Xenopus tropicalis: one gene and its partner. The protein of the gene in region 2 interacts with the protein of the main gene of each other region in a biochemical or structural test. Links are inferred from orthologs where the notes say so. Each region holds a gene or a part of one and is shown on either strand. Other genes may lie near its edges.

Region 1 (3,759 bases), on a different chromosome or scaffold from region 2:
TTATTGTATAGATATATCACCCCAAGCTCTCGTTGTAATCTCTTGTCTGAAGCAGGGTCTGACAAACTTGTAAGTTCCTACTGTAATATCATGATTTTCAGTAAATCCTTAGAATTCACTAGAAGGATATATCTCCCAGTTTCAGGAAAGCATTTACTAGCAAAGGCACTGTATGACTATGTATGATGAATGTGGCAGTCAGTGTTTCCAGGTCTCTTCCTGCATGTAAATAACAATGATGTACAATGTATCAAATGTTGCTATCCTGCTAAATGAGAAGTAGACCAGACTGATTCCTATTAGCACCCTAGTGCAAGGGCTTCAACTTTGTTAAGACCAAGCTTCATAGCCCTAGACCCAGACCGAACCAGTTACAACAAGAAAGCAGCCCTGCTGTAAGTGATGCAAGAATAATTACAGCATCAGATCCAGATGGGAGGACATTACAGTCCCAGACACATCACCTTCTGCTGGCTACCATTTCTCCAAATTGTTTCCTCAGTTCCAAGCACCACGTTACAGACTCTACTAGCCGGACTCACTATTTGCACTACCAGGCAGGTGTCTATTACATCTTTAGGTACCAGAGTATATGAGATGCTGGCACTTCATGTTCCCACCCAGTGAAAGTATTCAATAAAAGACAGTTTGTGGACAACAAAAAGGTTACAAACAAAACAGATTTAGTACAACTTTTAGATTTAAATACCGCAGTGACAGAACTGCTCTCAGACAGCTGTTGTTGTACTACAGCTCTCACTGAAGTTGTAATTTAAAGGAACAGTAACTCCAAAAAATGAAAGAGCTTTAAAGTAATAAAGATATAATGCCCTGTGGCCCGGCACTGGTAAAACTGGAGTGTTTGCTACAGTAACACTACTATAATTTATATAATAAGCTGCTGTGTAGCCCTGGGGGCAGCCATTCAAGCTGGAAAAAAGGAGAAAAGGCACAGGTTACATTGCAGATAACAGATAAGTTCTGTAGAATACAATAGTGTTTTATCTGTTATCTGCTATGTGCCTGTGCCTTTTCTCCTTTGAATGGCTGATTCCATGGCTACACAGCAGCTTATTTATATAAATTATAGTAGCCTTTCTGAAGTAAACACACAACTTTTACCAGTGCAGGGCAGCAGCACATTATATTTTAGTTACTTTTATACACTTTCATTTTTTGGTGTTACTGTTCCTTTAAGAGCTAGAGAAGGGAGCCACATACTGGACACTCGTGGATATATCTTAAAGGAACAGTAACACCAAAAAATAAAAGAGCTTTAAAGTAATAAAAATATAATGCACTGTTGCCCTGCACTGGTAAAACTGGTGTGTTTGCTACAGTAACACTACTATAATGTATATAATAAGCTGCTGTGTAGCCACGGGGGCAGCCATTCAAGCTGGAAAAAAGGAGAAAAGGCACAGGTTACATTGCAGATAACAGATAAGTTCTGTAGAATACAATAGTGTTTTATCTGTTATCTGCTATGTGCCTGTGCCTTTTCTCCTTTGAATGGCTGCCTCCATGGCTACATGGCAGCTTATTTATATAAATTATAGTAGACTTTCTGAAGTAAACACACAACTTTTACCAGTGCAGCGCAGCAGCACATTATATTTTAGTTACTTTTATACACTTTCATTTTTTGGTGTTACTGTTCCTTTAAATATCTTAACACTCAGTCAGAAAGTTTTAAAATGGTCTTCATTTTTATGTTTTCAATTATTTACCTTCATCATCAGCCTCTTTCTGGCTTGCAACTTAAAATGTATTCAGGTTGTGGTGACTGATCCCAGCAGCCTAAAAACTATTGCCCTGTGTGGCTCCAATTGCAGCATTATTGTTATTTTACCTGGACCTGCTCCTATTCATTTTTCAGTCCATTACTCTCACCACTGTCTGGTTTCTAGGGTTAACTGGACCCTAACAACCAGATAGATGCTACACAAAAAGCTCAATAATTGAAAAACACAGAAACTAAAGAAAAGACTATAAAAAGAAAAAATGTCTAAGGATAACTGTATGCAGACTTAAAGAACTGGCATAACCCTGTATAGATGGGGGTAATATCAAGCACAGCCAGCACTGCCCTCACTTACTTGAGAAAGTATCTCTGTCCCGTATGTGTGAATGCCATTTCCCACCCCGGCGGCAGGGGGAGCTCATCTGTCACATCGTAAGACTGCTGGCGCAAGTGAGCGTGTAGCTGAGCGGTACTTGGCGCAGTGCTGGTAGCAGTCCCTTGCTGCAGTGATGCCGGGGATGAGTTGGATCGGAAGTGAATTCCCTGCCTGGGGGGATGGCTGCCCGAGTCTGTGCTGGACTGCCTGGAGTGGGACCCCGAGTCGGGCTCCTTGAAGAACGACTCCGGGAGAATCTTCTTTCTCCAAGAACTTGGCTTCGGGTTCATGACCGAATTAAACAGAGCTTCGAGATCCGTGTCCAGGTCCTGGGTAACATGGATCACTTGCTGCCCCGGCGGTGGGAGATGTGGGCTCGGATTCATCTTTGCAGCACCGACACAAACGGGAGCTCCCTGGTGCAACAGAACCGAGCTGCTACGTCTCAGGGCAGCCTCAATACCCCGACAAGGGAAACGAATACTTTCCGAATCAGAACAATACGATAAAGATCCAGTGGAAGTTCTGTTTCCTGCAGGAATATCGGTACGATGGGGGGGGAGGGAGCAGAAGAATCTGCGCTAGGAGCGCTGCGAGTCTGTGCGTCCCAATGAGTGCGACTCTGCCCGTGACGTCACATGGAGAAAAGTTTCTCTTGTGTCCCTGTAAGCCGGGAGCAGCCCTCAGGAATTAGAGCCGGGCCAATCAGAGCGCTGCGTGGGACGGGTTCACTCCCAGAGCCCGGCTTGTCCCAAACAAAGTAAGAAAAATGTCAACTCACGGGATAGGGGAAGGCGTCTCTGGGCAGAACCCCCTGCGCTCCGCTGAATTATACATAAGCCGCCGCGATATGTCTGTGTGTGTGTGGGAAGGACTAGCGCTTGCCCTGCCCTGCTCCGGCTCCTCTCCAGGCACCGGGACTTTACCTTACAGGGCAACAGCCTTAGGCTTTCCCTCCTACGTGCAGCGGCTCGGGTTACACGTGTGGGAGAGAGAGCGCAGGAGTCCGGCTGTACTGTCCCGGGGGCTGTGGAGGGAGGCGCTTTAATAGCTCAGCGGAGCGTTACTATCCCTTTACCGTGCCCATAATATCAACCGTACTGCACTCTCTGCCTGCCTGGCCCTTTCCGCGCATCTAACCCTTTCCTGTATCCATACGCTGATATATAAGGAGCTGTACCAATGCTTCTCTACCCACCTGGCGTTTTGGCGCCTTCTTGGCTCATACACGTTTGGACTCTGAATTAAAAGAAAATGCTCCATTTGAGTCAAAGTCTTGCAACAATTAAAAACTCATATCTTTTTAGTCATAGTTTTTAATATTTCTATAGCAGATTTCATGATTTGGGGTAAGGCCAGAATTTAAGAGAAACTTATCCTAAAGCTAGAAGCTGTCATGCTGTAAAAGCTTGGGTTGCCACAATTTCTAGAAAAAACACCTGTCTTCTAGGCTCTGACTGGCAATCTGTGGATGTAGGCAAATGCCAGAAGGGCTGATGTGAAATGCCATAGACACTCACTATTGGGCCTATAAGGGGGGATGTTTGGGCCTCTGTAATTGAAATGCCAGGGCCTATTTTCAATCCTAGTCCAGACCTGCTCACTTCCTATTTATTTATCTGTTTCTTGCCTGGTAATA
Region 2 (3,659 bases):
ACCATGGACACAATCCCTTCCCATGTCTGCACTGTCGCCCATCAGTGATAATGAGTTCTTCTTATCACTGAACGGCTTGACATTTTGATAGGATTCAGACATGGATAAATCTATATGGGCGTAGCACAAAAAAACAGATTATGAGACCCTTTAAATCAGATCTTCAAATGGCTAAAATACAGCACAATTTATGGTTGAATGTCCGTATAAGACATAAATCTGCATTTTCCAATTTCCCATAAAATTTACAGCCAAACATAACTCACATGCACTTCTCGTCCCTGGGAATAAAACATTACGACAGCAGTGTAGAATTCTACTATCCGTGCCGTCAGTTCACGGTTTATCTCCTTTCTACAGTAAGTTGTTATGCAAAATTCAAACTTTATATCCTGATTGCAAGACACCATTTGCACCCATTTTAGGTGATTAGGTAAATCCAGAGGCCATACATTACCCTACCCAAACCACCAGCCACATCCACCCCACATTTTGATGGTAAGGTAGCTCTCAGCAGCAAGGATCCATTACTGAGGGAATGGAGACTGGCATGCGGAGGAGCCTCAAAATATCAAGTGTAAGTTATGTTCACCTTAATTTTGCTGCGAGCGGTGGGAGGGATGAGTAAGGACTGCTCACATGGGCTTGTACAAAGGCTTGAAAATGTGCTTATCTGACTGACTCTTTGCTGCTTTTCCTAGTTTCACCCTGGAAAAAGAAAAATGGTGAGTATATTGGATTGCTGATGGCCAAGATGATGATTTCAAATGTGAACATGAATTTCTGTGACCTGACTAATACTATTATTTAAATTCAAGATAATTAGTAACTCAACGAATCCTATCTAGTTTTACGTGAATTGTGGGGGTGCCGATCCCTTCTACTGTGCACTAGACTTACTTTGCACAAGAGGTGGCTTATTGTTCTGATACCATAAGCCAGTGATCCCCAACCAGTGGCTCCTAAGCAACATGTTGCTCCCCAACCCCTTGGATGTTGCTCCCAGTGGCCTTAAGCAGGTGCTTATTTTTGAATTCCTGGTTGGTTTTGGTTGCATAAAAACCAGGTGTAGTGACAAACAGAACCTTCTGTAGGCTGCCAGTCTACATAGGGGCTGCCAAGGCACCAGTCAGAGCCCTTATTTGTAACCCCAGAAACATTTTTCATGCTTGTGTTGCTCTCCAACTCTTTTTACATTTGAATGTGGCTCACAGGTAAAAAAGGTTGAGGATCCCTTCCATTAGCAAATCACATTTCAATCTTTCATACTGAAATCTTTCCACTAATATAGAGATTGACTCTGATACAGAGACCCTGACCATATTGAATGATATAGAATTTATGAGGCATTACATTGATTAGTTGTTCTTAGAATGTTAACAGTTCCAGTTATCAAGCAACAGATGGAAGAGGCTTTATTGTGCCACCTTGTGCACACAGTGCACATCCCACTATTTAATCAGTGGTTTGGCCATGAATGCTTGATGCTTCAATAAATCACACTCCATCTTTGGTCAGTTATATAGGCCATCCAACAACCAGAGATTACATTGCTTACTCCTCCCTGACACAAGGTGGGACGGCTTTGTCTCTTGCAGAAATCATGGGATTGGTTAAAATATACAACTGAAGAAAACTATTTTATTTATATAATTTATATAGTATAAAAAACACAAATGTAATAGTGCTTTTTTAGGGCAGTGACACACGGGGAGATTAGTCACCGCGTGACAAATCTTCGTCTCAAGACAACTTTGGCAAATCGCGGTGCCACGTATGCCATCCCACCAGTGATTTACATTCTAGCCAGTGGGATGGCATTGCGGGGAGATTAGTCGCCCGCGACAACAGAGGTTTGTCACGGTGCCACTAATCTCCCCATGTACCCCTGCCCTTATGGTTCCACACTCTCTGTACATTGTAAATGGCCCTATTTATATTAGTCTCACTAATAAGTGCATCAAAATTGCCCCAGTACTTAGTTACAGAGCTATGATCTGTACTACCTACCCCAGGGCTGTCTTATTTTATTTTCTCAGCCAGGGAACGTGACTTTGACCCAAATGAGACTTGAGTTTCATGTTCATAGGAGTGTATATAGTAGTTTTAAGGAGCTTCTGTAATGTTATTTTGCTCCATGAATGTGGTTCTGGGTTCCACTAAAATAATGCAGCCATTGGCTCTTTAAGTGGACTCTAACCCTCACCTCCTACCTTGTAATGTGACAGAATGTAATTCAGTAGCATGCAATATAGAGATTTACATATATATTTATATGTGAGTACTGGGAGCATATTGGATTCACAATGGGGATAGGGTAAAATTTGGCACCATGATTTATCCCAAGTTTTCATTGTAGAGATCTGTACAAATGGGAGCATTTGGTAGCAATTAGTGGGAGCAGTCTTTAGCTTGTTTGTGGAAGACTCAGGAGACACCAGGCTCCTGGGAAATGATTTTGGATGACCATGCTAATTCAATTCACACCCAGTTACACCCCAATAATGCCTCCTTCCTTCCTGCCTGGGGTATAAATAGGTCATGATAAGCCACCAGTATTAGAGTATCACCCTCATTTAGCATCAGATGATTATCTTGAATATCATGCATCATAAATACATTTTAGAACATAATAAAAATATTAGTTATGTTTAATTACTGCTGAAAATTGCTTAGAATAAAATGATGGCACAAGCAAGTTAATAGCAGTGTTATTAATATAATGGAGAAAGAGTTAATGCTCTTGAATAAATGGGTTCCAAGAGATTCTGTGTCATGCAATGAACTCTGCCAGTACTCACTCCCACAGCCGCTGGGAATGTTTCATGTTAGGTCCATATTGTCCCTTTTAGATTTTTTTTTTTTTATTTTTTTTTATTTTGTAGAGTTCAAGCAAATTTTCTTAGCTTTTTCACCAGAAAAATAGATTTATGCAACAGAGTTAATATGTTACAAAAGTATATATAATATTAATTTATATAATGCTTAATTAAATATATATAACGATCAGATAGATAAATTCAATGGTATTATTTAGTTAGGCTTCCTCTCCCGCTTACCCCTAGTGGCCGTGGGGAGAACAGTTGTTTGAAGGGGAACAAAGTATACAATAAGTAACCTCTTTAAAGTGTTGTGTGCCCCTGTTCAGTTTTAATAGCTAAAGATGTTTATATTTGCTCCTGTAGTGGGTTGTCTTGTTGTTTATGCCCAACATGTTTATTATTGACATTTTTTTCTTTCAGATTATGAACCACCCCAGAATACAGAGAAGAAAAGAACGGTGTACCAAATGGCACTAAGTAAGAAAAGAGCACAATAAGATTTAACTTCACAGTCAGTTGGGTTATTTCAGCATCAGCATTCAAGTGAAACTGGTAGTCAACTCATTTCTCCACTTACAGATAAACTGGATGAAATCTTGGCTGCAGCCCAGCAGACAATCAGTGTCAATGAGAGCTCTAGTCCAGGGACTCTGGCTTCAATGGGAGCATCCAGGGCTGCTGGAAAGGGATTTTTCTCTGCAGAGGTATTATGTCATTTGAGATGAAACTGTTGGTCTTTTCCTGTGTTATCCAGTGGAAACTAAACATGCCAAGATGTCCTGATGTTGGTGTAGTACACCCATGCATTGGTTTTGTCAAATGCTGTACAAATTACTG

The links. The genes of interacting proteins can lie anywhere in the genome.
Region 1: the proteins of shank1 (region 2) and wwtr1 interact in a test that uses a peptide from one of them, tested with the Homo sapiens proteins (2 studies listed by IntAct, with this or other methods). The link is inferred for Xenopus tropicalis from reciprocal best matches to the Homo sapiens genes SHANK1 and WWTR1.

Annotation. Positions count from the first base shown.
Region 1 is NC_030681.2:122,437,467-122,441,225, forward strand, and holds the start of wwtr1 (WW domain-containing transcription regulator protein 1), read right to left. Parts: upstream 2,507-3,759; coding exon 2,100-2,506; intron 1-2,099. UniProt on the Homo sapiens protein: Transcriptional coactivator which acts as a downstream regulatory target in the Hippo signaling pathway that plays a pivotal role in organ size control and tumor suppression by restricting proliferation and promoting apoptosis.
Region 2 is NC_030683.2:110,063,266-110,066,924, reverse strand, and holds part of shank1 (SH3 and multiple ankyrin repeat domains protein 1), read left to right. Parts: intron 1-701; coding exon 702-725; intron 726-3,242; coding exon 3,243-3,299; intron 3,300-3,401; coding exon 3,402-3,526; intron 3,527-3,659. UniProt on the Homo sapiens protein: Seems to be an adapter protein in the postsynaptic density (PSD) of excitatory synapses that interconnects receptors of the postsynaptic membrane including NMDA-type and metabotropic glutamate receptors via complexes with GKAP/PSD-95 and Homer, respectively, and the actin-based cytoskeleton.